7 linked regions of the Mus musculus genome follow. The protein of the gene in region 1 interacts with the protein of each later gene in a pairwise test. Links are inferred from orthologs where the notes say so. Each region holds a gene or a part of one and is shown in the gene's direction. Other genes may lie near its edges.

Region 1 (3,225 bases):
CTTTATTTTTAGTTTTTGGAGGAAGCTCTTTATACTGTTTCATATAATGCCTGTACTAATTTAAATTGTAATCAATAATAAATGCAGAGGATTCTCAAAAGTCAGTCAGTCATACATGGCCACTTTTATTATTTCATTTATACAAAATGCCAGGAATAGGCAAATTCATAGCATCCGGAGAGGATTAGTAGTTACAGAGGCTGGAGGAGAGTGGAAAGGACTGTGAGTGGGTGGGGGAATTTCTTTTTTAATCTTTATTCTTTAAATTTCTTATATGTATGGACATTTTTGCCTTGGTGTATGTATGCTTGTGCACCATATGATAGCCTGGTTCTTGAGAAGGTCAGAAGAGGGCTTTAGATCCTCTGGAACTAGGGATGAATGGCTGCGAAGCATCATGTGGGTGTCAGGAACTGAACCTGGCTCTTCTTGTAAGACAAGTGCTCTGACGGCTAAGTATGTCTCCAGCTCTGGGTGTGGGAGTTCTTCTGAGAAGACAGATGAGTTCTGAGCTTATACAGTGATCTGTTTTGTACCACTGTGAAAAGATGAAAACCATCAAACTGTGTACTTAGTAAAGGTTAATATTTTGGTATGTAAATCTCATTCCAAAATTGCTACAAAAATATTTAAAATGTAGACTAGAAATATGGCTCCATGGTAAAATATTTGCTGTGTATATGTGATGGAAAGCCTGGGCTATCTCCAACACTGATAAAATAATTTTAAAAAACAATATAACTACTTAAATAACATTATTACTTAGAACATCCAGACTTGTTTTAAATTGGCAATGGTATTAAAAAAATACTAATGGTGGTTATTATATAGCTATGTGTTTTTAGGCCCCCATGATTACTGTGCTATTAGTGTTACTATATAAACTATTCTATAACCAGTAATGCCATGTAGTTTCTTTTGTTAAGGATTTGTATAAGTCCTTGAAAATACTGTCTGCAGAACTGGTGCCTTGGCATAGCTTAAAGAAACTGGATGAAAAGGAAGGTGTCAAAGTCGGAGATCTGTTGTTTATGGTGGATACCATGTTGGAAGAAGTTGAAAACCAGAAAGAGGTAACGTTTGATACTTATATAATTGTTCTCATTTTAAAGGCTTATGTCAACTATTTAATATTATTTCAAATTGTAAACTACCCTTTCGCCTTCTTTCTATAGACCAGCAGCACGCCGAACTCTCAAACTTTGCAAGCTATCGTTTCTCACTTCCAAAAGCTATTTGATGTGCAGTCTTTAAATGGAGTCTTTCCCCGGATGAATGAAGTGTACACCAGGCTTGGAGAAATGAACAACGCTGTAAGGAACCTTCAGGAGCTCTTAGAATTAGGTGATGACCCTTTGTCATTTGGGGAATCGATTCTAGAATTATTCTGAATAAATTAAAAAGAAGTTTGGGGCTTGGTTTGGGTTTGGGGTTGTTTAGGGTTTAGGGTTATCCTGGGATTTGGTTGTTTTGGGGGGATTGGGGTTGGGGTTGGGTTGGGTTTGTTGGGTTTGGTTTGGTGACAATGTTGCCTTGTTCTCACTGTAGCCAAAGCTGGCCTTCAACTCCTGGTCTTTGTCTTTCACCTTCCAAGTACTCAGATTGCTTGTGGGTACCACCAGAACTCCTATTAATTACACACAAAGACATACACAACACCAAAAAACAAAACCAGCGGGAGGGATGTAGCTTAGTTGGAAGATGCTTGCCTAGCATGCATGAACTCTAGGTTTGATTCTCAGTACTGAATAAACAGGGTGTGGTGGTGCACATATAGAATCCAAGGTGATGAACATCCTCAGGAGATGGAGGCAGGAGGATTAGAAGTTCAAGGTCACGGGCTGTAAGAGCTGCCTCACTGGTTATGAGGCCTTGCTGGGAACTTGTAAGGACTGGAGTTCATGTCCCAGCACCCATATAACAGTGCAGACATGCTAAATCTCCATAACTCCAGCTCCAAGGACTCCAGCACTCTTTTCTGGTTTCCATGTGTGCAAACACATTTGTGCGCACATGTATACATGTGCACACTCATACACACTTGCAAATAAATCCTTTTATTAAAGTTCAGTTCAGGATCATTTTTTGATACATAACTGGTAGGCCAGCCTAGGAATCATGAGACGCTGCTTAAAACAAACCCTCCCTGGGCTGGGAGATGGCTCAGCGGGTAAGAACACACTCTCTGCAGTCCTGAGTACCAAAAGTAGCATCCCAAGCTGGATAGCTCACAAGTGTCTGTTACCTCGCTCTGTGGAGAATGGAAACACTATTATTGAGCCTAGCCAAGAAAATGTGGACTCCAGGCTCAAGGAGATAGTGTGCCTTAAAGAAATGGCAAAGGGTGGTAGAGGGCAAACTAATAGAAATCTTAATCCCTCTGCCACAAAAATAAAGTGAGTACAACTGAACCAGGGTGAGTGTAATGATTTTGGAAATTCTTTAAAAATATCTTATGCTTTCTTTTCTCTTTTGCAGACAGTTCATCATCATTGTGTGTGGTGGTCAGCACAGTTGGTAAACTGTGTGAGATAATTAACAAGGATGTGAGTGAGCAGGTTAAACAAGTGTTAGGACCTGAGGATCTACAAAGGTATTTGTTAGAAATGCATCTAGAGTAAAAGCTCCAAGCTCTCCCAGCCCCTGACTGTCCGTGTTGGCAGTGACAGGGCCCAGGGGTCCTTGAACTCTGTGTAGATCAGGGTGGCCCTGAACCAAAAAAGAGCTGCCTGCCTCTGCCTCCAGAGTGCTGCCACCAAAGATGTGTCACATGTACTCAAGATAAAAACTGTTGGGGCTGTAAGCTCACAAAGGGATGTTGGGAAGTTTAGCAGAACTCACCCTTGGGGAAAGTTGTATATGGAGAAATTAAAATCTTTATAACCAATTCTTGAGTTGGATTATAACATATAATTTATTTCTAGGACACTACCAAAACTAATAATTACTAGTCATATTTTTTTGTTTAGAAGATAAATATTAAGGATTTTTAAAAGACTATGTACCACCAATGTAAAAACCTGATGTTTTAAAAAGTACATTATGAGAATGTGTTTGTGTGTGTATGTGTGTGTATGTATTGTGTTTATATATATGCATATATGTATATGCATATATGTATATGCATATACATATATGCATATATATAAACATATAAGACATATATGTATATATAAACACACACACATGTATCATCTATATATTCTGCATATTTTCCAGTAAGAA
Region 2 (3,943 bases), on another chromosome or scaffold:
ACACACACACACACACATATGTGTGTGTGTGTGTGTGTATATATATATATATATATATATACACATATATACACATATATACATACATATATATAATTTATATATGTATATATATGTATATATAATTTGCTTTAGATTGAAGAAATTGTTAAAAGCTCAACATATCACAAATGGGAATCCATTGGAAATATAAAAAATAATATTAATAATGACACAACAAACTGCTAGTTAGTACCTTGCCTCTTCTGTGTAGTGTCTGATGGATGCTGTGTTTCCCTTTCAAATCTTCAATGATATACACATGAATTTACAATGGTACCCTGGGATATAAGCACACATAATTTGGGTCCTTAAGTTTTAGATATCTGTCAAAATATTAAAATGTCAGACTATTCCAGACTTAATCTTCATTTAAAAATGATCCTCAGGTAATTTATTATGTAATTAAAGCTTAAAATTCATGTTGCATTATTTTAAGAATAGGAAAAACAAATTCAGTTACTTATTGGCTTTCTAAGAAATAGCTTGTATGCAATTTTAGAGTTCTTGGATTATTGTTACCTTTGACTTCAGCTTAAAAGAGATTATGAGCTAAGCCAGATAGACCCTGTTCCTTGAAGAAATACATCATATTTAAAATACAAAGTCCTTCATAAAACAATAACAATAAAATCCATTCATAGACAGGTAGACAGACATATAGTAAGATAAATAGATAGAAAGATACATAGATATGTTCATATATCCACACATGATTTATAAATTCATATATCCAGATATGATATATGACAGATAGATGTTCCATATATAGCTTTCATGCCTACATACCTATCTTTTAAAACAAATCCCAAATCTCAGCTATTTGTACTGCTATGGTCCTTGCTTCTCTGTGGTGAAAAAGAAGTTATGAAACTACTGCACCATTCACAAATGTTACTGGTCTTTTGTGTCCATCATGTTACTACGATAGTCTTTGTTTCTAGCACTGAATAATAATGCTGTATTGACTTAAAATATGCATCTCAGGTTACAAATATCTTGACAAAAATCTTTACTCATCCTTATAGAATTTTTTATGTTTTTGGTTGAGGCACTTTAATTTTTTGGTGCTATATTTTGCTCATTACTATTCCATGGAATATCAAAGCTATAAGTCATGGACTATCTATGTAGCCACACAGCTACAAAGTTAGCCTTGTGAGTATTGAATGTCCTGCCATACCTTTATTAAGGCTGCAGCTGTGGTTCCTCCAGGAGTGACAACATTCACCATTTGAGTGTAGAGAAACACACTTTTATGTTAACTCATAATAATGAGTGAACTCTTCTTTTTCCTGATCATTAAATTCTAGATGTTTAAACACATTGCACTCAAGTCTAGCAGCAAAAGGCAGATAGTGACAGGGATAAAGAAACAAGATTATATTAGAAATCACTAAATGACTCCATACTCACTACAAGACATAAAAGATTTCAGCTAACCCAAAGGAGATGCTTCCTCTTTCAGCAAACGTCCTGCCTCCTTTCCTAATGGATCTACATGGGGTATTCTTCTCGGGTTAGAATTGTATGTACCAGAAGCAAAACAAGCAAAGCTAGTGACTTGCTTTCTTCTCTGGCTTTGGACTCCCCTGCTAGTTACATAGAACAGCAATGAGAATTGATTAATGGGGGTGGATTCTGTGACTAGAGCTTTAGAATAGCACTGAGCCATGTCTACCATCTTTTTTTTCCCAGACTAGCCTTAACAGCATGATGAGTGTTTACAGTGAAACGGGAGACTATGGCAACGTGAAAGTCACCGGTGAGATCCTTCTCCACATCAGCTACTGCTACAAAACCGGCGGGCTATACATTTTTGTCAAGAGCTGCAGAAACCTGGCCACAGGAGATGAAAAGAAACAGAGGACAGATGCGTAAGCACGGAGGATGCCCCTCTACTGTCTCCACAACTGCCTTCTCTGTCTGCATGCACACTTCCTTGTCAGCAGAGGTTAAAGATTCCTTCAATTAAGAGCTCGTCTGAAGTCTAAAGATAGTGTTTGTATCTTTGGTTACTTGATTTGAAAGAAGCCATGATGGAACAACATTATGAGCTAACCAGTACCCCGGAGCTCTTGACTCTAGCTGCATATATATCAAAAGATGGCCTAGTCGGCCATCACTGGAAAGAGAGGCCCATTGGACTTGCAAACTTTATATGCCCCAGTACAGGGGAATACCAGGGCCAAAAAGGGGGAGTGGGTGGGCAGGGGAGTGGGGGTGGGTGGATATGGGGGACTTTTGGTATAGCATTGGAAATGTAAATGAGTTAAATACCTAATAAAAAATGGAAAAAAAAAAAAAAGAAAGAAAGAAGCCATGACATGATTCAGGAGTAACAAACTTGTAGCTTGCACAGAGGCCACTCGTGGTGAAGGCAAGCTGATTGTTTAAAAATGTTGCATAATTTAATTACATTCTTTCCCCTCTTAAAATTCCCAGATCACCCCTATGAACTTCATGTTCTTATTCTCTCTCAGAAAAAAGATAGTGTCGCACGCACACACACACACACACAAACACACACAAACACAAACAAAAAACATGGAGTTGGTCTACTACTCCTGAGCATGAGGCCTCCATTGGAATATATTTGGTTATACCCAGTGTCACTGCATCAAAGAAAGCCATTTTCTCTCTCCCTGAATCTATCAATTACGAATAGCTTCTCAGTTAGTGGTGTGACTACTTTGTTCACCTCCTAGTGTCTAGATTTTAAATGGCTCAGTGACAAATATTTGTCCAGCATGGAAAGGAACCATCTGAAATTCTAACACATGTGCCTTAGAACTCTGGTAAAATATGTTTCAATCTTGTGCATGTCTCTGTCTACTCTGATGTCCCTGTCCCAAGAGGCTTCTAAAAGAGCTAGCTAGCACAAGCCAAGGTACTGGGTTGAACTGTAAATTTGTCATTTTTCCCTTTCTTCCTTTTAATTGTTTCCTGTCATTCACTCACCCCGGTAGTCTATGCCCTGACATTAGAAGATAGAACTGGCAACGAAGAGACATATATCCCCTAGAAAAGGTTGTGAGACTATCGATGCTAGCAGCTTCCACTTATGGAGGAGGACAATACTACAGCTCCTCTTGTGTTTTGTGGGTTAAGTATTGTTACCATGCCACTTTTTACACTTGACAAAACAAATACACAGCAGTGTAAAAACCAAAGACTATCAAAAGGAATGATGCCTGGGTGGTCCCACAAAGCCTGTTCTCAAACAATATTCATCACTGTTCCTTCCTTATAGAAAGCTCAGCATTATATTTATGATATTCGATTGTACAAACTAAAGTCTCTTCATTTCCATCTCTTTTCTCCACTAACCCATTCCCTTTTCTAACTGAAATCCTGGGATATTTCTAGCAGAGTATATTTGCAAAAATGATGATTTTTATCTTTTGTTATTTACAGTTATGTCAAGTCATACCTTCTTCCAGACAAGTCCCGAAACAACAAGCGTAAGACCAAAATCAGAACGGGTACCAATCCAGAATTCAACGAAACATTAAAGGTAAATAAATGCTAACATAGGAACATGTTAAGTAGAACTTCATTGATTTAGAATTAACTACACTCAAGAAGGTTGGGACAGGAATATTGTTAAGAGTTCAAGGCTAGCCTGAGATAGCATAGTAACATCCAAGCAAGGCTGGCCTATAAAATGAGACCATCCCAGACTGAGACCATCCCTTATATCAAAATACAAACAAGCCAAAAAGAAAAGAACAACTAAATGTACCATTTCAAAACGCATGCGTGTGTGTGTGTGTGTGTATGTGTGTGTGTGTGTGTGTGTGTGTGTGTGTGTGTGTGAGGGTTTTAGAAAACTAGAATTTGAATGGTATTAGATTTCCTAGAAGTTTTTGAAAAAGAAAAGGTAAACTATTCCCGCTTGGTT
Region 3 (4,523 bases), on another chromosome or scaffold:
GTATGGGCTGGAGGAGGACTAATGAAGAGTGATTTGGTTTTGTAGATATAAAAAAAAATTTTTTCAAGACAGGGTTTCTCTGTGTCGCCTTGGCTGTCCTGGAACTCACTCTGGAGACCAGGCTGGCCTCATATTTGCTATATAGCCCAGGTTGGCCTTAACCTCCTTGTCCTCCTTTCTCTACATCCTGAATCCTGATTTTAGAAACTTGTGTCATAACTTGGGAATTAGACTAGCCTGAGCTAAGTTTCTGGCCAGCCTGAAAAATTAAAGATGTTATCTTTAACAATTAAAAAAAAAAAAAAAAAAAAAGAGGGGCCTGGAGAGATGGCTCAGAGGTTAAGAGCACTGACTACTCTTCCAGAGGTCCTGAGTTCAATCCCAAGCAAACACATGGTGTTTCTGTCTGGTCCTGTCTCCCTCTCCACTCCCCTTACCCCTCCTCCTCTCTTAAGACTCAACCAAACTGAGTAGAATTCAGAGATCTGCATGCCTGTGTCTCCTGAGTGCTGGGATTAAAGGAATGTGCCACCACACCTGGAACTAAATTTCTTTACCTGAAACTTTCTCTGTACCATGCTGGCCTGGAACTCATGTCTGTACTCCCATCACTTATGATTGATTCCTTTCCAGAGCAGCCATGTTGCTGGATTAAAATTCCTCTACACAGCCGGGCAGTGGTGGCGCATGCCTTTAATCCCAGCACTTGGGAGGCAGAGGCAGGCAGATTTACAAGTTCGAGGCCAGCCTGGTCTACAGAGTGAGTTCCGGGACAGCCAGGGCAACACAGAGAAACCCTGTCTCAAAAAAAGACCAAAAAATCCTCTACGCAGATCTTTGAAAGAAAAATCAAAAACAAAAAAAAAAAAACCAAAACAAAACAAAAAACCAACCAAACAACAACAAAATCAGAATGATCCAGTCATCATGACGACACCTGTAATTTCTTGGGGTTTTTGGTGTTTTGTTTTTTGAGACAGTTTGTGTGTGCAGCCTTGGTTTTCCTGAAACTCCCTGTGTAGATGAGGCTGGCCGTGAATCCCATCAAGTGTTGGAATTAAAGATGTGGGCCATTACTTCCTGGCCTTTTTGGTTTTGTTTGGTTTGGTTTTGAGCTAGGGCCATAAGTTTTCCCAGGTTGGCCTCAAAAACATAGCAATCCTCTTGCCTCAGCCTCCAAAATCCTGGATTACAGGATTTTTTTTTTTTAGGATTTTTTGAATACTACAAAATTCCACTGCATATGTATTACAGACCCCTGGTTTGAGATCACCCTTCAAGACCCTATTCATACTGAACACACAAGCCCACATTAGAAAAGACAAACCAGCTAGTGGCCACCATTAGCCTCTTCTGAATTGAGCCCGTCTGGCCCCGCCCAGGACCGCAGAGGTTTCTAAGGACCCGCCCACCGGTGCTAGTTTCCCAAAAACCCGTGCGGCAGACTCCAGCCGCTCCAAGATGGCGACTCCCATGCATCGGCTCATAGCTCGAAGGAAAGCGTAAGTGAGATGCTTGTGGGGTGTGCAGGAGGGCTGGGGGCGTGCAGACGCCTGTCCGCTAGCTAGTGAGCGGGCGCAGGCTGCTGAACTGAGCGGGATTTGAAGAGAGTTCGAAATGAATCCAAGAATTGGTCGTTGGGTGGTCTGTGTTCCTCTGTCCGGTCCACATGTCAAGGGTAGCCTGGATGCTTGATCCCACATCTTCCCTCTCAAGATCCCAAACTTTTCCCTCTTCAGCGTACCTGCCTCCTTCCTATCGCCCTTTCTAGAAACAAGCCTGTCTGCAATGCCTATTAATTCCCCATCGACCGTTTCACTTTCTGCAGCTCTCACTGTAAATAATTATTTTAGTACAATCACTCACAGACAGTTTCTCTGAAGAAAAATGTATTCAAGCTACGCAGCTTAACAGTTTTATTGTGGAACCTGTTGATACTCTAAACAAGTACAGCTAGTGGTTTAAATAGCTTTGTAGGAGCCGGATGGTGATGGTACATCCAAGCATTCAGGAGGCAGAGGTAAGCAGATTTCAGAATTCGGGGCCAGCCTGGTCTACAGAGTGAGTTCCAGGACAGCCAAGGCTACACAGAGAAACCCTGTCTCTCTAAAAACAAAACAAAGTTAAGCTTTAAAGGGGATAAGAGGCTGTGGTGAGGAAAGGCAAAAGGCCCAGTTCAAGTCAGTTCTAGAAATTCATCTGTGAGGGGTGACATTTGAAAACAGACTAAAAGCCATAGAAAGGACTGAGTCAGCAGAGGATTTGGGGAAAGATAGGAAATGGTATATTTGCTATGAGTCTGTTAGAATTTGGGGGTGGGTTGGGCAGATTTAGAGACAGGATTTGTCTGTGTAGCCCTGGCTGTCCTGGAACTCACTCTGTAGACCAGGCTGACCTCGAACTCAAGATATCTGACTGCCTTCAGTATGCTGGGATTAAAAGCTTGTGCCACCATGCCCAGTTTGAATCTCAGTAACTATCAGTCCTGGTGGCAGATGCCTTTAATCCAAGCACTGGAGAAGCAAAATCAGGTGGAGTAGCACTGAGTCAAAGCCAGCCTGATCTAAAGAGCAAACTGCAGGCCAGCCTCAGCTGTGTAGGGAGACCCTGTCTCCGAAAAGAAAAAAAACCAACCAACTCAATAACTACCCATTCAGTGGTGTAAGCGATGTAAGGGGCGGAGACCAGTTACTTGAACATGAATTTGAGTCCAGCCTGGGCAACATAATAAGACTTCATCTTAAAACCCTCCAGTAATGTCATACCCACTCTGCATGGCTGTGTGACATGCATGTCATGTTGTATTTCTCAGACCTATCAAAAGTCATAATACGAACCTGAAAGGAAACAGTTTATACATCTAATACCTGCATTGCTTCGCACTTTGCTTTTGACCTAAGCTGTGGTTTATGAGTTTAAAACCCGAGTGTTGGGCCTGACGTTGGTGGATTGTGCTTTTGATCTAAGCACTCAGGAGGCAGAAGCAAGTGGGTCTGTGAGTTCAAGGCTAGGCCAAGCTGGGTATGGTGGCTCACACTTTTAATCCTAGTATTGTGTGGCAAGTGTCTTTAACCCACTGAGCTGTCTCACCACCACCATTTTTTATTAGTAAGTTAAAAAGAATGATAGCCAGGCACAGTGGCACATGCCAGCACTTGGGAGGCAGAGGTAGATCTATGAGTTTGAGGCCAGTATGGTCTATAGATGGAGTTCCAGGGAAAAAAATCAAAAGCAGAATCAACCAACCAAATGAACAAGCTTTTTCATTTATGTGTGAATAGGAGTAGAGGTCAGAGGACAAGTCGTTGGGGGTCAGATCTTTGGGCTTACAGCAAACACCTTATCCACCCACCCTTTTCCCAGCCTTAAAAGTGTTTTAATGGGTTAGGGGGTCTGGCTCAGTAGTAGAGCATTTGTGAAGGAGGCTCTGAGTTTGATATCTAGCATTACAACAAATAAGGACCTTCATTATCCTTTGTCTTCTGAGCTAAAAATGTTGGTCCGAATACATGATTATTGGAATGGAAAAACTTAAAAAAATTTTTTTTAAAGATTTATTTCTTTATTATATGTAAGTACATTGTAGCTGTCTTCAGACACTCCAGAAGAGGGAGTCAGATCTCGTTACGGATGGTTGTGAGCCACCATGTGGTTGCTGGGATTTGAACTCTGGACCTTCGGAAGAGCAGTCAGGTGCTCTAACCCACTGAGCCATCTCACCAGCCCAAAATTTTTGTTTTTATTATTTTGCTTTGTTGAGACAGGGTCTCTTGCTCTGTAGCTCAGGCTAACTTTAAACTCAGAGCCATCCTCCCACATTGGCCTGCAAAGTGAAAGACTATAAGCATGAAATACCGGACTGGGCTTAGAAGAGCAAGACTCAGTTCCTGTTGCGCCCCAGGTTGCACGCTTTGAACACCGTTTGTGTGCTTGCTAGAGTCAACATCACGTGATACTTTAATGCTCTTCCAGGTCAGAAAGTGTCCCAAGACAAAACTTAAGGCTTGTATTCTGTTATTTTCTTTGTAGTGAAGCCAATAAGCAACATGTAAGATGTCAGAAATGCTTGGAATTTGGACATTGGACTTATGAATGCAAAGGGAAAAGAAAGTACCTACACAGACCTTCGAGAACGGCAGAGCTGAAGAAAGCTTTAAAAGAAAAAGAAAATAGATTATTGCTGCAAAGGTAGGTTTACATGTAATATCCAGGGGAACTTATAAAAATATTTACAGAATCAGCTGACCTCAAGTTTGCTGTCTTCCTGTCTCAGTCTCCTGAGTGCTGGGATTACAGGTGTGTACCGCCGCATCCAGCTTACAATGCTATCGGCTGGTTTTTAATGAGTGGCCACTCTGTGTCCAGGCCCTATGTGTCCTCTTTATAAGTCTTAGCATATTTAAACCTCAAACCTCTACTAATAAGGTAGCTATTATTAACCTCTTTGTATGCTCACATATATGTACCTATATGTATGTGAGCATGTACACACACACAAATTTTAAAAAATAATAGATCACTGA
Region 4 (4,504 bases), about 49 Mb from region 1:
AGTTTGATGGCTCAGTGGATCAGAGCACCTGGCTCCAGGCTGATGGCCTGAATTCTTTCCTCACCTCATCGAAGGCGAGAGCCTGCTCCCCAGTCATCCTCTGTCCTTGCACATGCACTCTCTTGAACCCACACACATATAAAATACATTTAAAAAACCTTAATTAATTATAGCACTATTTTCCACCTATCAGGACAATAAAGTTGCATTAGGGGATTTCTAAAATACCAAGTATGAATTTCTTATTTTTACTCCTTCAGTGAAATCTTCCATGTGGTTTCATTTTCTGTTCAGAGAGTTTTAGTAAACTTCTCTTGTGTTAAAGTAGCGCTAGAAAAGGCTACTGTATCCCCTGGCTAACCCAGAGTAGTTTTACTGAAGACCTCTCCTTCCTTGCATCAGTTCTACATACTAGGATCTTGGTCTGTATGCAGAGTTGAGGTTCTGGGTTGACACAGAGCTGTTTGCCATCTTTCAACTCCTGCTGAATGAAGTTCCGGTAGCGCTCGGGGTCATTTTCAGCCAAATCATCGAGCATATTCCAGAACTGGGAAATGTGGGTAAGAAGACCCTTTGAGGACACCGTCATGATGGTGATGAGACAGGCCTTTGGAACCTGCAGAGAGACAGGACTTGAGAAAAGGCATGTAAGGTATTTACTGCCCTGTTTCTTCTTTCAGGGAAGGAGGAAGGCTTTTGCAAGTGTGCTGCGGGTCTTAACTAAAAGATTGCACACCCATACTGCTTTATCTTGGCTTTCCTACAGTCTGTGAGTAGAACCACTTCCTAAATTCCTACGTTGTACCTGTACTTCCGTCTGGTCTTCATAAATACAGAGGGAACAGAAAGGACTTTTGTTCCAATAGTTGGATATTGGCTGACTTGGTGCCTTCCAGACCTGGAATTGTGAGGTAGGGGTGTGTGTGTGTGCGTGAAAGAAAGACGGGTAGAGAGACTGGGGTCGGGGGAGACAGATACATAGACAGACAGTATAGTAGTTAAAAGTAGGCGCACTGGAGCCAGTATGCTTACGTTCTTGCAAACTTCAGACATCTATGTTGCCTTGAGCAAGCAGTGTATATACTCAAAATAAAGATGAGGGGGCTGGAGAGATGGCTCAGCGGTTAGGAGCACTGACTGCTCTTTTAGAGGTCCTGAGTTCAAATCCCAGCAACCACATGGTAGCTCACAATTCTATAATGAGATCTGGCGCCTCTTCTGACATAGAGCTATATATGCAGAACACTGTATATAATAAATAAATGAATCTTTAAAAAAAAGATAAGGATTAAGAACACTAATATTTAAAGCTGGAACATTATGTGAGAGCAATAGTCAAAGATTCCGCCCTCCTTCAATCACCCTCCTTCTGCAAAAGAGAAAGTTCCCAATATTTTTAAAAAGAGGTTTAGAGTCTTCAAATTATATATTAAAGTTAGATTAAATCAACAACGAATACACACTTAATCCAAACGTGGGGGAAACGCGCACGTCTTCTCTCAGTTTGCCGACAAACTGCGACTCCGGTTACCATGGTAACCAGTCCCGGTACACCATCTAACTGGGTCCGGAGAGCGCAAAGTAGAGCTGTGTCTCTATATCCAGTTCCGGTTCTCTTCTCCGGGTCCGGACTGGCTCCTCCGCAGGCCGTCCCGCTTGTCTCTCGGGAGAGCGCCGCCTTCCTTCCTGCACCCGTCAGCTTCCACGGCGACCGGCGAGCCCGCTCTGTGGGAGTCTCCGGTGGGAGGGAAGCGTTTCTCCGGAGCACGACTTCCGGCCCGGAAGGAAGCCGCCACCTTTTCTCCCACCCCGCCACGCGAGGCTGCGGCGCACGGTATGGGTGTGTGTGTGTGTGTGTGTTTGTGTCGGGAGGGCGTTGCGAGGGAAGGCCGCCGAGAGCGCCGGGGCTGCGGCGGGGCAGGGAGCCCGCTGACAGACATGGGGGCGCTTTCCCCCACGTCCCCTTGGAAACCTCAAGCTCCCCCCGAGGCACTCTAGATACTTCCTGGGGCCCAACGGAAGGCCGTGCCCAAGCCCTGTGTCCCCATTCTGTCCCGGGAGTGAAAGCGAGCCGCCGGGCGCCGGCCCAGCCCAGCGAGAGCGGGGAATGCCCCGGTCCGCCCGCCCGCAGGCCGCTTTCCGCGCCTGCGCCTCCTCTGGCCTGGGTCCCCGAGAGCGAGCCGCCGGGCGGGCTCGGCTGGGGGAAGGCAGCCGTAGCCTGGGCCTCGGGTGAGGAGGGCACAGTAACCGGTGGGAAGGCTGCGTTTTCACGAAGGACTCGGGTGAAGCTGCAGAGCTGCCTTTCAGCCCTGACTCCTTGGCTTCCTGGGTCGGAGGAGATCTTGTAATGGAGTGGTTCTTCGTCTCACACTAACAGGATGCCTGATTTCCTCAGGATCGAGGGGTGAGTGAGCATCGGGACAGTGGCACCAAGCCCCTGCTAGCTACACATGTGAATATCGTTGTCTTCTGGGTTTTGGAAAGTTCCGTACAGTGTAGGAAACAAAATGTCCTGAGTAGAGATATTTAGGTCATCTAAAAACTTTTTTACAATTCAGTTTATTTTTTTACTGTTGACATACGTGGTGTTTGATGCCTTCAAATCTTCGTGTTTATATCTTTGCAAGCGAATTTTGGGGAGTTTTGAGATTTGATTTCTAGCCGGGACACTAACACACCCGTTGCCTGAGTCCATGCAGCCTGGGGGCAGGTTACGGCTTTAAGGAATTTGATTTTGAGGAGTTGGGGTAGAGTCCAAACTCGGGGATCCCCATAGGTTAAAAGGCCAACCGAAAATGTCTGGGGAATCATATTGTATCTGTATCGATCACGTACAGACCTTTCCCACTTTGGTCATTATTTTAATCTCCATCGTAACATTTACATAACATTTGCATAGTTTTAAGTATTATAATTAATCTAAATACCCTCACTCATCCTAACTGGAAGAGCATGTCTGTTGGCAGGTGGTGGCAGTAAGAAGATGAGTTAAGGGCTGGCCGAGGCCACTTAAGAACCTGACTAAAAAAACAGTCCTATTTTAAAATACACAGGAGCATAGTTTCTATACAAATATTATACTAGTCTAAAAGAGGAATGAGCGCCCTAGGATTGCTTTGTGTGTGCATGGATGTCACCGAGGGACTTTATCCAGGGTAGCTCTTAGGCTAGGCAAATGCTTTACCAGGCCATACTTGGATTTAGTACCTTTAGGGTCCTGGAACTGATCCGTCATGGATCTTGACTACTTGACAGAGAATCGTGAAGACTGAATAACATGGTGCTCATGGAAAACAAATTTTGAGCAGCTTTGTGCAATTTTAAAGACTAATGTACATCATCCCTTCATCCTTACATGCACCATAGTTGGGTATCATAATGGTGAAAGGAAAATTTTCCCTTCGATTTTCTAAGTTCAGTGATTTTTTTTTCTTTCTTCACTTCTTTGTTTCTTTATAATTTACTAAAAATAAATTTATTGCATATTATTGGTTCATTTCAGATTAAAGAATGTCCCGGGTTCCGTTGGGGAAAGTCCTCTTGAGGAATGTCATCCGGCACACAGATGCTCACAATAAGGTAGGCAGTACCGCCTAGTGACTGCCAGCATTTCCTGAGGGCACACAGTAAACCATGAATTATGTAGGGAGTTAACAAAGGTGCATAAGAAACAACCATAGTTTGAAAGTACTGTAACATGAAGATACTTACAAAATGCTTTAGTGTACCAAGGAAGGAATAAAGAAATCTGCCTTGGGAAAATTAGAATGATTTCACAGAGTGAATGGTCTTTGATATTTGAATTGGTACTTGATGTTGATGGATAAATGTTTACCAGGTGCATTGCTTGCTTTTGACTGAGAATCCTCTGTACAAATACAGAGCAACAGAGCAAGGGCTCGTGATGTACTTGAGTGATGATGTCTCCTGTATGCAAAGCCTCATTCCATCCTGCCCTCTATCAGTCATCACTTGGGGCAAGGCATTTTGCTTCTAGGAAGTCAGAGATAGGAACAGTGATAGAAGATAAGACGCAAGTGGCAAATTAGAGTTGTTTTCTTGACACTTAGGAGATAAACTTTCTCTTCTGAGCAATAAAGAAGACATCAGCTAGGAGTGGTGTCTTACATGTTTCATACCTGTAAGTGGTGTTTTACCCTTGAGGAGGTGAGGTGGTGTGACTGCCACATATGTCAGTTTAGACCGATGATTTGTCAGTGTGGTAGAAGATAGATGACGGAGAGGGGCACTGGGGAGGATGATGGGATGAGTGGTTTCGAGGAGCTTAGAGACAGAATCTAGGAGACTTTGTGAGGCAATGCTGTGATGAGAGTGGAGTCCAGCAGAACCGCCTTCTGTGACTGGAAAGGAAGTAATGAAGGGACAACAATGACAAAGGACAAACACGGGGACATAAAAAGATCAGGAATCCTTTGTCCCGTTTTCTTCAGCACACTACTCCTGGCTTGGTTGTTCTTATCACTGTCAGCATCATAGTACTTAG
Region 5 (3,943 bases), about 55 Mb from region 1:
TGACTGTGTTCCCTCCCACTCCAGAATTCCCATCTGCAAAAACCCTACGAGATAAACCTGATGGAGGAACTAACTCTGAAAGGAGTAACTCAGTACTACGCATATGTAACGGAGCGCCAAAAAGTGCACTGCCTCAATACACTTTTCTCCAGGGTAAGTAGTGGGCTTTTGTGCTGAGTCCTGTCCTTCACTAATTCCTAGCAAGTTGGACAATTAGATCATTTTCCCTTTCCTTTCCTTTCCTTTCCTTTCCTTTCCTTTCCTTTCCTTTCCTTTCCTTTCCTTTCCTTTCCTTTCCTTTCCATTCCTCTTCTCTTTTTTTCTTTCTTTCTTTCTCTTTCTTTCTTTCTTTCTTTCTTTCTCTTTCTCTCTCTCTCTCTCTTTCTCTCTTTTTAATTTTATTTTTGACTTTATTTTCACTGTAAAAAATCTTACTGTTTTGTAAAAAGTAGCTTTAATTGGCTTACAGTTGAAACTGATTGACACAGGTGCTTTATATTGTTAAATAATTTACTGTAATTACAGTTCATCCTTTGTGAATACTAATTGCTAAAATTTATTTGTGACCCCCAAATTAGTACTGAAGGTTTTGGTTATTCTTAGACATATACATTGTGGACTTAAAAAAAAAAATGATCCCAGCTAAGGTCCAAGAAGAGGACAGACATTCTGTCTTCTTGTTTTACTTATAAATGCTACAATTGTTTTTCAAATTTTGGTGCTGTTCATCATTCATTCCAAAATGACGGCCTCGCTGCTGCCGACGTGCTTACCTGTGTTCTGAAGCACAGGGGGACTGATGTGTACTACACAGGGAAAACATGTACTGGGTAAACCTCCTGCAGGCACGGGTTATATTGGTTAGGACTATAGACATACTAAATAAGACATGCTCAAAGAAAACACATAAATTGGCATGTTTACCAATTTATAAAATGTCACCAGAGGCTCACAAGTACTTGTCATTTTCTCTAGAAACAGTGTTGTTTTAACTTGTTTGTTTTCTTTATTTTAATGAGTCTGTGTCTGTGTGGGGTTGTACGCATATGAGTGCAGTTTCTGGAAGCATCCAGAAAAGGGTGTTAGAGCGCCCGAAGGAGAGTTACAGGTAGTTGGGGCCCACACTGTGTGAACTGAACTGAACTTGGGTCTTGTTGAATAACAGTGTGTGCTATTCACTGCAGAGCCATCTCTGTAGCCTCAAAGCAGTGGTTCTTATTTGCTGAGTCAGTGTTAGCAGCGGTGTATTGTAGGACATTACTGTGTTGTCTCTGCAAGTTAGGTGGCCCTTATGAGATAATCTTCTCTAGGTCGACAAATTTTCATCTGAAAGCTTGGCTAGATATTTTCATGATTGGATAAACAGATGCTTCTGTCTTTCTCATCTTTCTCATCTTCTGTGCTTAGCTTCAGATAAACCAGTCCATCATTTTCTGCAACTCCTCCCAGAGAGTCGAGCTACTCGCCAAGAAGATTTCTCAGCTGGGCTACTCTTGCTTTTATATCCATGCTAAAATGAGGCAGGTAAGGATAATTTCGAGAACTTGCATAGATTTAATAAAGAAATATTTTCCTAAGTATTTCTTATATTTTCTTTTGTTATAATGTTGTATAAATGCCTTGTGTGTGAGAGTAAACTGTTGTCTTAAGGTAGGTACTGCTGTATTAGTGGTAGAGCAGTGTTCCAGAAAAAGAACAAATGAACGGACTATTTAGTAGACAAAGAGACCTTCACTTAAACCAATAGGTTTAAAAAGCAGTCCAGAAATGTCAGATCTTGGGGCTGGAGAGATGGCTCAGTGGTTAAGAGCACTGACTGTTCTTCAGAAGGTCCTGAGTTCAAATCCCAGCAACCACATGGTGGCTCACAACCATCTGTAGTGAGATCTGACGCCCTCTTCTGGTGTGTCTAAAGACAGCTACGGTGTACTTAGACATTATTATTAATAATAATAGTAATAATAATAATAAATCTTTAAAAAAAAGAAATGTCAGATTGTCCATGAAGTCCTAGCATTTAAAGTAAGTGAAAAGCTCAGAGTCATTATCTGTTCCATACTAAGTTTGAAATCAGCCTGAGTGACATGAAATCCTGTGGGGAGGGAAGGGCACAGGAGACATTCTTTTGGGGGGAATTTCTAAATTTGTTCTGTTTAGTGCAATAACTTTATTACATAGCTCCATGTACCCATTAGACTAGGTAAAAGCAAATACAATTGAAAGGTTTGTTACTTAGTCAAATCCCTGAGGCTGGTGACTCCATTATTGGAGAATACCAGTGCAATTTTTTTTTTTTTTTTTTTTTTTTTTTTTTTTTACAGAATGCACTGCTCTAGATTTTAATATACAGTAACTCCTCCTTACAAAGGAGAGTTCTGAGATCCCATATCGGATACCTAAAATCATAGACAGTACCAGATTGTATGTGCATGCTTGCTATGATGCAGTTTATACATTGGATATGGTAAAACGTTCACTAGGATAATAAAATAGAATAAATATGACACTATATTTGTCATAAATGTTACGTGACTATGATCGCAGCATGGCTTATTATGCCTGTCCTTTTTGATAGAATGCTTGTATGATGGAATGAAGTGTATCATACAGACATTGAGTGATACAGCTCTAGACTGCTACAGAAGCATAGGTAGTTGTGTAAACAAATTTGGGGTTGAAGAACTGATTGGGTAAGAGAAACCATGATGAAAATTTTGAGTTGTCTATAAATTTTACTCAGTTTTTATATATCCCCCTACCCTCCAGGAACATCGAAATCGTGTCTTTCATGATTTCCGAAATGGCTTATGCCGCAATCTTGTTTGCACTGGTAAGTGTTTTTGTATTTCTTGGACCTACTGTTTTCTTAATTGGCTGGTTGGTTTTTTTGTTGTTGTTGTTGTTGGTTTTTTTGTCACATAGTGAAACCTATGTGACAGCTCCTTACACCCTGCTGCCACTTTGACAGCTTCTGAAGACAGGGGTGCCTGCTGTTTAGTTCCTAGGTTGAGAGCAGGTGCTATTCAGTGCCTGACCTTGGGTTCCTCCTAGTGCTCATGCTGCACACGTGGCTCTAAATTAGGTTTTGCATTTATGTGCTTTCTGAACAGTTCTAACATACAAGGTGAGCAAACACAAAATAAACTTTACTCGAAATTACATTTTAGAAGTTGTGTCTATTTGATTTTTTTTTTTCCCAGAATCACATTATTCTATACCGTAAGCCAAGATTTTCTAATTTTTGGTTGTTCTATTACTACAGAAAAATAAGCCTGGGTAGGGAGGGGGAGACACAAATTTAGCTCAGAAACTAATAGAATGGTGCCTTCGCACCTATGTACTTAGAATTTAATCTTACTATTAGTGTGAGAAGAAGAATCATTTGAGGAAGTAGAAGGACTTGGAGTTTGAACTATAATGTATATATTGGTAAATTGCTCATCTTTATTTTTCATGTGAATTTTCACATACGCATGTACCTATACATTCAGATAAAATTGTATTTAAGAAGTTTTGGTTGGCTGGTTGGTTTTGTTTGTTTTTGAGACAGGATACTACTATATAGCTCTTACTGGCCTGGAAATTGGATATGTAGAGCAGACTGGTCTTAAGCTCACTTCTTTTGTTAGCTGGCCTTGGCCGCTTAAGTGCTGAGATTAGAGGTGTGCAGCACCACACCTGACACAATTATATACATAATATATATATACATTAAAAGATTTATTTTAATTTGTGTCTGTGTCTATTCTGTGTCTACCACGCTTGCACAACAGGTGCCTGCGGAGGCCAGAAGAGGGCATTGTATCCCCTGGAACTGGAGTTCTCAGGCAGTTGTGAGCCTGTTGATATGGGTGCTGGAGATGAACGCACATCTTCTGGAAAGAGCAGCAAGTGCTCATGTCCAAGGAGCCATCTCTTTAGCCACCTATTTTAAAATATAGTC
Region 6 (4,660 bases), on another chromosome or scaffold:
CTTGCTAGGATAACAGGCTGTGTCACCATGCCCAGTTTGGGGACCCACACTTTTTTTTTTAATGTGTTCATTTATTATATGTGAGTACACTGTTGCTATCTTCAGACATACCAGAAAAGGGCACTAATCTCATTACAGATGGTTGTGAGCCACCATGTGGTTGCTTGGATTTGAACTCAGGATCTCCAGAAGAGTAGTCAGTGCTCTTAACCACTGAGCCATCTCTCCAGCCCCGACCCACACTTTAAAGATAACTTCTTCTCAGCATCCAGCATAGAATCTCCGAGTGGGGGACCCGTGTGGGAGGAATCAGACATTCATGGAGTGCCACACCTACGTGGAAGTGAGGCTCATTATCACAGCCTGCTTCCCACCTCTCTGAGCAGACATATTAGCTTCTGAGGGAGTGGCCAGGAAGCTGGGAAGGGAGACCAAACACCAAAGCTCAGACAATCTAGCTCACATTTGATCACTGGCACAATCCCTGCTCTCCCCCCACCCCGTTTGGCTTTGGTTTTTTGAGACAGGATTTCTCTGTGTAGCCCTGGCTGTCGTGGAACTTACTCTGTAGACCAGGCTGGCCTCGAACTCAGAGATTTCCCTCTGCACCAACTGAGTCTGGGAGAATATTGTGTTATGCACTTCTGACCCGACACACTTGTCCCACCACAGTCACGGCTCTCAGTTTGCTGCACGCAGGAGCAATATTCAGGGTCACCAGAGAATGTTCTAGAAATGGACATTCTGGGGCCCTGCCAAGTGTGTTGAACCCTGAACCCTCAATTTGGATTTCAGCAAGCCTTTAAGTGCATGCCAGAGTTCCAGGGCCACCTCTTTACAGCCTTACAAAGTCACTACAATGATCTCTATTTTATAAATAGGAAAGTGAGACACAAAGAAAAAGGCAATTTGGGGGCTGGAGAGATGACTCCAATGGTTAACAGTGCCTACTTGTCTTATAGAGGACCAAGGTTTGATTCTCAGTACCCACATGACTCACACACCATCTGTAACTCTAAGATTTATTTATTTATTATATGTAAGTCACTGTAGCTGTCTTCAGACACACCAGAAGAGGGAGTCAGATCTCATTAGGGATGGTTGTAAGCCACCATGTGGTTGCTGGGATTTGAACTCAGGACCTTCGGAAGCAGTCGGGTGCTCTTACCTGCTGAGCCATCTCACCAGCCCCCATCTGTAACTCTAGTTGCAGGGGATTTCATACCGTCTTCTGGCCTTGTAGGTCCTCATACAGTAGACCTAAACTCACTTAGGCACAGTATTTTTTTAATCTTACTTATTTATTTATAGACAGGGTCTCTTTATTGTCTAGCTCTGCTCTGGTTGTCCTGGAACTCACTGTGTAGCTTAGGCTGACTTTGATCCACCTGCCTCTGCCTCTCAGGTACTGGGATAAAGATGTATGCCACCTCCCCTAGCCCATAATTTATGATTTAATCTTTTTTTTTTAAAGGGGGGCAATTGCTTTTGAGTCACATACTTTGTAAAGGAATACCAGTGTTTGCATCTAGGCAGTTTCCCTCGCTCAAGGAAATCATGAAAGAGTTGACATCTGAATTCAATTAAGTTCAGTAATTCTTAGCGGTTTATAAATAACTCCAGATTGAGCGCTTGTTCGAGGCAGGTCAGATGATGGAATCGGGGAGCCTAGTTCTCACCGAAGCCATTCTGGGAGGATTGTTCAGAAGACCTGAACCAAAGCTGAGGCAGGACGGGAGGCTCCTTTAAAAGGTGGAGCCAAATCTGCGGAACTGTGGAACAAGGCCACGAAGAGCGCCCTACCGGAAATCTGAAACTGCTACACCCGGAAGTGTTTTAAAGTCAGAAGCGGCCACGCTGCCGGAAGCTTCACTGCAATGGGCCGCAACAAGAAGAAGAAGAAAAGAGATGGAGACGACCGGCGGCCCCGGCTCGTTCTCAACTTTGATGAAGAGAAGCGGCGGTGAGTGGCAGGGTGGAAAGAGACTCCCGTCGGGCTGCCGGGGGAAGCGCGCCAGGCACAGGGCGCGCACGCCCACGCGGAGGGTTCTTCCGGCCCCGCCCCTGGATGTAGCTGGAGCTCGCCTTCCTCTTTCCCCACCTCGGGGGATGGAGTCGCCCGCTCCTCCCTCGCTGTTTACGGCTCTCAGCGCTGCGCCTTGGACCACCGGAGTGCCGCGCCGTCTATTGTCACAGCCCATAGCTGGCTCCCAGTCGTTGTTGACGAAGGACGAGCCGATGGGATGAGAGAGGTTTAGTTCATTGATTCACGCACCAGACTGCGTGCCAGCCAAGCCTGAGACCAGAGGCTGAACTGCTTTTTAGTGTCACCGTAAATAGCACCTTGTGGTCTGATGGCTCTCAACCTGTGGGTCGCGACCCCCTTAAACCCATCGGAAAAGAGATAATATTTACATTACGATCCATAACAGTAGCAAAATACAGTTAAAACCCCTGGTGTAGTGTACCAACGGAAACCGTAATTGCAAAGCCTGGTAGTGCAGACCTATAATCCTAGCCATCCCGGATGCTGAGGCAGGAGGATTGCAAAGTAAAACCCTGTGCGGGAAAGTTCAAGAACGGTATGGGCATTTGGACAATTTGTCCCTGTCTCCAAGACAATATAAACGAATTAATTTATTAGACCATTTGCCTAGCTCGAATAAGGTACTAAGCGTAATTAACTTCCAATACAGCAAACTCAGGAACAGCAGAGATTAGACAGGAAGAAGGAAGCACGAGTCAGGAAGGTGGGGGCACTCCTAGGACCCGCCACACAGGACCCAGGTGGGTTCAGGAGTCAGGTGGCCTTGAGGACTGGTTGTTGGTTGGTTCAGTGAAAGAGTTTTGGGGTCTGGGTGAAGGCATTATTAGAAAGCCTTACTAGAAGTGACTCCTATGAAATAAAGTTTGCCAGTGTGGGAACAGTGACCACCAGCTCTGTGTATTGACCACCTGGCCTTTTGTGTACTTAGCAAGGGGCAGGAAGGCCAGGTGAGCTAGGTGACGTTTGGTTAGTGATGGAGCGCGTACTGAGACTATAGCTTCCAGCATAGGTGTGTGGTAGGTTATACCACCCAGGATTATTATGTAAGTACACTCTGATGGTCCAGCAAGGACTCACAACTCATTTCTCGAAGGTACCTTTGTCATTGAATGACTTGTGACTGCATTGTCTGTGACCTTGGATGAGTATCCTAGTCTCTTCCTCAGAGTCCCCATCTATAAATTAAGGGTTGGCTGTGAGAGGGTAAAATGGGTTGGTGGGTAGGAGAGAGTCAGGCAACTTATGGAGCTCTGTAGAGCCCTGCTTTCCTCCTGGCTCCTCCTGACTCCCCTGGCTTCTCCCCTTCTTCCTTCTTGCAGGGAGTACCTGACAGGCTTCCACAAGCGGAAGGTAGAGCGCAAGAAGGCAGCCATTGAAGAGATAAAGCAGCGGCTTAAGCAAGAGCAGAAGAAACTTCGGGAAGAGGTGTGGTTGAGGGTGGGGTAGGGTTTCACCTCCCAGGGGAGGGCCAGCCTTGGCTAGGTCTGCTAGAGGCAGCTATGGGACCGCAGTGTGAGTGTGACGGGAGCAGCGTATAGAGACGCTGGGGATCCGCGTGTGAGGGATGAGTCTCCTCTAGAATTTGCTCCGTGAACCATGCTCTCATACGATGGGAGTACACAGGGCTGTCCCATGTGTGGACCGAAAGGCCATTCTCGCTGTGTTTATTTCCGTTTTAGTGGCTTTTTCTGTGACTGTGGTAAAATACTCTTGAAAAAAAGGCAGCATAAGGGAGGAAAGGTTTACTCTGAGTTCAAGCACCCAGTTCATCCTGGCAGGAGAGTCAGGGTGGCAGGAGCTTGAAGCAGCTGGTTCTTCACTGAATGGCACCACCCATAGTGAGCAGGTCTTCCCATCTCAGTAAACAAAATCACGATAATAACGCATAGTATGCTCAGAGGCCCATCTCCCAGGCCATCTTAGATTTGGTCAGGTTAACAGTTAACACCTTCACCTCTTCCCTTTGGGCTTCAGCGCCACCAGGAGTACCTGAAGATGCTGGCAGAAAGAGAGGAAGCACTGGGTAAGTCTCTATCTAGGCTTCACGTGGTGAGCACCCAGTGAGCCTGGGCTTCTGTGTCCCCTAAGTGGGAATATGTGAGGGTGGGAGAGTGAGTTTCTTAGCTGTGGAGATTTTGGTGGTGGTGTGGGGGCAAGGGTGGTCTAAGTACAAGCGGATCAGAGAGCTGGACACCCAATCCATATGGTAAACTGAGACTGAGCAGAGAGCCAGGGATGGGACAGCTCATGCCCTCGCGCAGTTTCTCCAAAGCAGGGACAAGCAGGAGCACAAAGGGATGAGAGGTTCATCTCCCATGGTTACCCGTGGGCGGGGCTCTGGGCCACTCTGTAGATTAGGGAAGAAAGGGAGAGGCAGGGAGATACAAGGAGAGCCGGACTGGCTCTGGAGAAGCTCGCCACGTGCCAGTCCCCTACCCTCCAGGGCTAGGAGGGAGGCTAGACTGAGCCAGGCCTGAGGACCGCTCACTGTGTGCCAGTCCCATCCCGCCAGGGCTAGGAGGGAGGATGGAGCCTGGACTGAAACAGGCCTGAGGACCGCTCGCCGTGTGCTAGTCCCCGGCCCACCAGGGCCAGGAAAGAGGCTGGACTAAG
Region 7 (4,401 bases), on another chromosome or scaffold:
GGAAGACTGGGGTTCTGTGTTCATGGGTTTCCTGAGAGGCTTCGGGCCTACTCTTCTACACTCTGAGAATAGAGAGTAGACACTGAGGAAGGTTGGAGTGGCTGGCTCTACTCTATGCCCTAGAATTAAGAAAAACAAGGGAGCCAGGCAGTGGTGGCACATACCTTTAATCCCAGCACTCGGAAGGCAGAGGCAGGTGGATTTCTGAGTTCGAGGCCAGCCCTGGTCTACAAAGTGAGTTCCAGGACAGCCAGGGCTACACAGAGAAACCCTGTCTAAAAAACAAACAAAAAAACACAGAGCCTTGGATCTATCAGACAACTGCTATTCCACCAAGCTATCCTCTGCTTCCAGCATCCTTTGCCAATTTTTAAAATAAAACTTAGCAAGACCAAAAATATTTGTAAGACTCTACCCTGACCGTTTTTTGACAAAAGCTTTTAAAGAAGAGCTAGAGAACAAAGCCAGACAGAATGCCTGAGTGGCCTCTGAAGAAGTAACATTTGAGTTAAATCTAGTCACGTGAGAGGGAGCAGCACATGAAGGGGAGTCAGTCAGTTCTTTGATCTAGACCGTGATTTCCAGTTTAAAGTGTTTATTGGGGGAGAAGGGAGCTTTGGCTAGCACCTGTAATTCCAGCTCACCAAAGTGGAAGCAAAAGGGTCAGGACTTGAACATGCTTCTCAGACAAAGCAAGTCTGAGGCTTGTTTCATTTTCTGTTTTAAAGTCTCCTTAGCTGGGTGGGAAGTGGCTGGAAGGGGAGCAATGGAGAGGTCAAGGCAGCTAGGCTGTTTTGGCTGAAGAGAAGACAGGCAGTATGTGCTTGTGAATAGCATTGACATGACTGGCTTACAGAATTGCCGATGGTCTTTTGTGTATAATGGTTCCTCTTACAAGTTTTCAGATTTACAGTGGTAAAACCGAGAACGACCTGACTCTCCCCAAGCATATATGGCTAAAACCTGCCCTCAGCTTAAGTCTGTTAATGTTAGTAAGTCCTTGTCCTAAGTGTACCTTTTACGTTTGCCTTAACTAAGAGGGTTCTTGGCGGGGTTGGTTGGATTCTCACAATTGTCAGGCTTTTCCTTTGAGTCCAGCTGCTACATGGCCACATCAACTCATCAGAATCTCTTTGAGTGGTTTAAACAGACAGCACCTCTCCAGGTGAACCCAACATGCAGTCAAATTTTAAGATCCTGAGTCCTGGTGGTGTGGAGTGAAAGGAAAAGTAGTGGGGCTTCGTTGGGTTGAAGTGCTGAGGAACAAGAGTGGGAAAGGAGCTACCTGCGCACACTAACCCCGCACAGCCTATTTTGCGTTTTGTGGCGGGCACGTCAGGTCTTTGTGAAGCGACTCAGGGGACCGCATGAAGAATCATGGCAAGCGACCTCCGAAGTCAAAGCGAGTAACAAGCCAGCGACGGGCAGGGCCAGTTTCCACGGAAGGCCCCGCCCCTTCCCGCCCCCACCGTGCGGCGCAGGCGCGGTAGCTACCACCGCAGGGGTCGGTCTCCGCTGACGTCAGAACGCCTCGCTCCTCTCAGCCTCCCCGCTCCGGAGTCCCTGGCGGGCCGGGGCGGGGCGTGTGGCCAGCTGAGTTCTTCGGGCTGACCGCGCCAGTTTGAATGAAAGCTCCGCAAGATGGCGGCGGCCAGGGCCAAGGCACGGGGCAGTGAGGCAGGAGCGCGGTGTCACCGGGCTCCAGGTCCGCCCCCGAGGCCCAAGGCCAGGCGAACGGCGAGACGCCGCCGCGCGGAGACCCTGACGGCGCGACGCTCGCGGCCGTCTGCGGGCGAGAGGCGCGCCGGCTCCCAGCGAGCGTGGTCCGGAGCTCCGCGGGCCGCGGTCTTTGGCGACGAGTGTGCACGAGGTGCCTTATTCAAGGGTGAGCAGGAAAGCACACGCGCTGCGGCGGTAGCGGTCGCCACCTCCGAGCCGGGGGTTGGGGGTGGTGGCGGGGCTGAGGTGCGGTGCTGGAGAAAGGGAATCCCCTGGTGCCTGCGTTCGAGCGGGTCTGGCCTCGCCGTGAAGCGCCTGCACACGCAGCCCTGAGCTCCGGGAAACTTTGGGGGGCCCGGCTGGAACTTGCAGGTTATTTCTGTGGATGCTGAAGCCGGGGCACGCAGTGCGCGTGCGTGCGCTCGAGTCGCGCGCCCTTTGAAAGTCTGGGTTGTGCAAAGCCTTCTGGAATGAAAAGGTTGTTCTCCAGCTCTTTCCTCCGCTCCACCCAGATGGTGACACTATTATTCCCGTAGGTAGCTCTTGCCTCCTTGAAGCGTGGTGGGGATGGGATGGTGGAATGGTTTTTATAAACGGGATGTTATAATCTAGACAATGAGGCGTTTTCCTCTCATCATTTTTGGCTGTGGGATTTTGTAAACCAAGTGTTGGCAATTTTTCTTTTTAACATTTCGAGATGCCCCCAAAATGTAGCATTTCTGTTGCGAGGGGCGGTGCATTGTAATTACACGTAACGCTTCGTTATGACGTTTTCATACGAATATATGTACGTTGATCCTCCGATTCAACACCACCCTCCATTATAGTGTTGTGTTTTCAGATTCTCAGCTAGGGGTAAAAATTGAAAAGATAAATAAAACAGCAAACAACTTGGTTACATAAACAAGAGGACTCTCCTTTGCAGATGATTAGCATAAGGAGATTAGCATTAAGACAAAACAGCCTTAAGATTTTTAGAAGCGATTTATGAGACGTTTTTTACAGCTTTCTTGTCTCCAAACCGCCACACCTAAGCAAATAAATGTATTCTGGCAAATTTGAAGGAAAGTCTTTTTGCAGGTGCCAGAAATATGAGTTGTTTGCAGTCACTGGAGTTCGGAAGCTATCCTCACTGGTTTCTGACAATGAAGTCCTTACTGGGAAGGATGAGGAAGGACTGCGGGGAAAATTTGAGCGGTTACGCTGTCCCTTCCTGGAAACTTACCTTAAAAAGGTTTTTGCCCACCACTTCGGAGAACTAAAGACAGCTTGATGAGTTAGAGATACATTTTCTTTGGTCACCTCTGTTCTCAACAAAACACACTTTTTTCCAGTGAATCCCATACACAAAAAGATTGGGACTTTCCCAAAGTTGTGTAGCTAGGTGACCCACCAACGGGTAGAGCAGAGGACTTTTGATCATCTTGTATTTATCCTGATAGTAGGGGTAGTGAAGTTTGTTACATTTTTCTAGACATCAGTTGTGTGATTATATTTTTAAATCCAGGATGTAATACAGTTCATTTCTGGCCTCCGTACGGGTATTGTTTAGTATGTCTGATTTTCAAGTCTGGCTTATGGAATATTTCCACCTTGTATTCTGTTTTGTAACTGCTGGCTTGAAAACTGTAGGAAACAAGTATTACAAAGCTCACTATGCTCTCCACTTAAAGTAGAATTCTCTGGCTTATGCATGATGAAAATACATTTTACCATGCACAAAATAAATGAAGCTAAAATCTCTCGACTTTTTACAAAATGGAAAAAGTAGGATATGGATTTCATATTTAAATTCTTATCATCTGACTAAAAGAAGTGAAGTTACTTTTAAGTTGTGGCCATTTTAGAATATCTTTTAGATATATTTCTAACAAAATGTCTTAGCTGTTTATTAGGAGAACAGTTTTATTCTGTGTAAAAAAATTTACTTCATTTTACCTTCGCATTTATATGTAACCCTAAGAAATTTTAGATGTGAAATATTTTAATTAGCCAAGCAAGAATTAGGCAATGTGGGTAAAAGTGGGATAGATGTCCACTGGAAAGTAAACCAATTTACCAAAACTAGTTCTTTATCCTATAACTTTTTCTTAAACACACATATGTAGCTTCTTGTTATATGTGTTTCTAGACTATAACATTGTCAGTTGAGAGGGTTTTAAGTTTTTGTTTCAGCCTAGTAGCTATTTTATTGGTAAAGAATTCTATTTTCTTATTGTAGCCTGGTGTGTGCCTTGCCTAGTTTCACTTGATACTCTCCAGGAATTATGTAGAAAAGAAAAGCTCACATGTAAATCGATTGGAATCACCAAAAGGAATCTAAACAATTATGAGGTGGAGTACTTGTGTGACTACAAGGTAGCAAAGGTAAGGCAATGTCCAGCCCCTTGGCAGAGACCTGTCCACACTGCAGTGTTTCATGTTTCTCTAACATAAAAAGAGCCTCAATATAAGTGAAGCTCTTCTTGTTTAACGTTGTAAGATATAGAGTTACTCGGTCAACACTGAGGGGATTCTGAACCGTCAAATGCTTTTGCATTAGAATATTTAGGGTGTTTATATCCTGCATCCAACTCTTGACTGTTTGCATATGGATTCCCAGAGCAAATTTGTTAGGCCTGATTGGTTTGTCCTGCAATTCGTGTTGTTCCTGAATCCTATTTCCTATCACTGGCAGGAACC

Evidence for each region.
Region 2: the proteins of Cep70 (region 1) and Sytl5 interact in binary tests that used the Homo sapiens proteins (3 or more experiments, as listed by UniProt). The two-hybrid records come from large-scale screens. The link is inferred for Mus musculus from reciprocal best matches to the Homo sapiens genes CEP70 and SYTL5.
Region 3: the proteins of Cep70 (region 1) and Zcchc10 interact in binary tests that used the Homo sapiens proteins (3 or more experiments, as listed by UniProt). The two-hybrid records come from large-scale screens. The link is inferred for Mus musculus from reciprocal best matches to the Homo sapiens genes CEP70 and ZCCHC10.
Region 4: the proteins of Cep70 (region 1) and Nkapd1 interact in binary tests that used the Homo sapiens proteins (3 or more experiments, as listed by UniProt). The two-hybrid records come from large-scale screens. The link is inferred for Mus musculus from reciprocal best matches to the Homo sapiens genes CEP70 and NKAPD1.
Region 5: the proteins of Cep70 (region 1) and Ddx6 interact in a two-hybrid assay, tested with the Homo sapiens proteins (2 studies listed by BioGRID and IntAct). The two-hybrid records come from large-scale screens. The link is inferred for Mus musculus from reciprocal best matches to the Homo sapiens genes CEP70 and DDX6.
Region 6: the proteins of Cep70 (region 1) and Nol12 interact in binary tests that used the Homo sapiens proteins (3 or more experiments, as listed by UniProt). The two-hybrid records come from large-scale screens. The link is inferred for Mus musculus from reciprocal best matches to the Homo sapiens genes CEP70 and NOL12.
Region 7: the proteins of Cep70 (region 1) and Suv39h2 interact in a two-hybrid assay, tested with the Homo sapiens proteins (2 studies listed by BioGRID and IntAct). The link is inferred for Mus musculus from reciprocal best matches to the Homo sapiens genes CEP70 and SUV39H2.

The regions. Positions count from the first base shown.
Region 1 is NC_000075.6:99,295,101-99,298,325, forward strand, and holds part of Cep70 (centrosomal protein of 70 kDa), read left to right. Parts: intron 1-912; exon of another isoform or gene 913-926; coding exon 927-1,073; intron 1,074-1,175; coding exon 1,176-1,344; intron 1,345-2,478; coding exon 2,479-2,593; exon of another isoform or gene 2,594-3,225.
Region 2 is NC_000086.7:9,958,277-9,962,219, forward strand, and holds part of Sytl5 (synaptotagmin-like protein 5), read left to right. Parts: intron 1-1,737; coding exon 1,738-1,916; intron 1,917-3,456; coding exon 3,457-3,556; intron 3,557-3,943. UniProt on the Homo sapiens protein: May act as Rab effector protein and play a role in vesicle trafficking. Binds phospholipids.
Region 3 is NC_000077.6:53,323,240-53,327,762, forward strand, and holds the start of Zcchc10 (zinc finger CCHC domain-containing protein 10), read left to right. Parts: upstream 1-1,449; 5' UTR 1,450-1,461; coding exon 1,462-1,502; intron 1,503-4,029; coding exon 4,030-4,188; intron 4,189-4,523.
Region 4 is NC_000075.6:50,614,558-50,619,061, reverse strand, and holds the start of Nkapd1 (uncharacterized protein NKAPD1), read left to right. Parts: upstream 1-1,597; 5' UTR 1,598-1,834; exon of another isoform or gene 1,835-2,404; intron 2,405-3,502; 5' UTR 3,503-3,510; coding exon 3,511-3,579; intron 3,580-4,504. Other genes in the region: Pih1d2 (PIH1 domain-containing protein 2), read right to left, coding at 413-616, 1,033-1,053.
Region 5 is NC_000075.6:44,628,617-44,632,559, forward strand, and holds part of Ddx6 (probable ATP-dependent RNA helicase DDX6), read left to right. Parts: intron 1-24; coding exon 25-153; intron 154-1,407; coding exon 1,408-1,524; intron 1,525-2,766; coding exon 2,767-2,830; intron 2,831-3,943.
Region 6 is NC_000081.6:78,933,113-78,937,772, forward strand, and holds the start of Nol12 (nucleolar protein 12), read left to right. Parts: upstream 1-1,820; 5' UTR 1,821-1,877; coding exon 1,878-1,963; intron 1,964-2,043; exon of another isoform or gene 2,044-2,527; coding exon of another isoform or gene 2,528-2,582; intron 2,583-2,696; coding exon of another isoform or gene 2,697-2,787; intron 2,788-3,366; coding exon 3,367-3,472; intron 3,473-4,021; coding exon 4,022-4,070; intron 4,071-4,660. UniProt on the Homo sapiens protein: Multifunctional RNA binding protein that plays a role in RNA metabolism and DNA maintenance. Participates in the resolution of DNA stress and the maintenance of genome integrity by localizing to sites of DNA insults.
Region 7 is NC_000068.7:3,472,187-3,476,587, reverse strand, and holds the start of Suv39h2 (histone-lysine N-methyltransferase SUV39H2), read left to right. Parts: upstream 1-1,601; 5' UTR 1,602-1,641; coding exon 1,642-1,885; intron 1,886-2,376; exon of another isoform or gene 2,377-2,556; coding exon of another isoform or gene 2,557-2,568; intron 2,569-3,940; coding exon 3,941-4,086; intron 4,087-4,401. UniProt on the Homo sapiens protein: Histone methyltransferase that specifically trimethylates 'Lys-9' of histone H3 using monomethylated H3 'Lys-9' as substrate.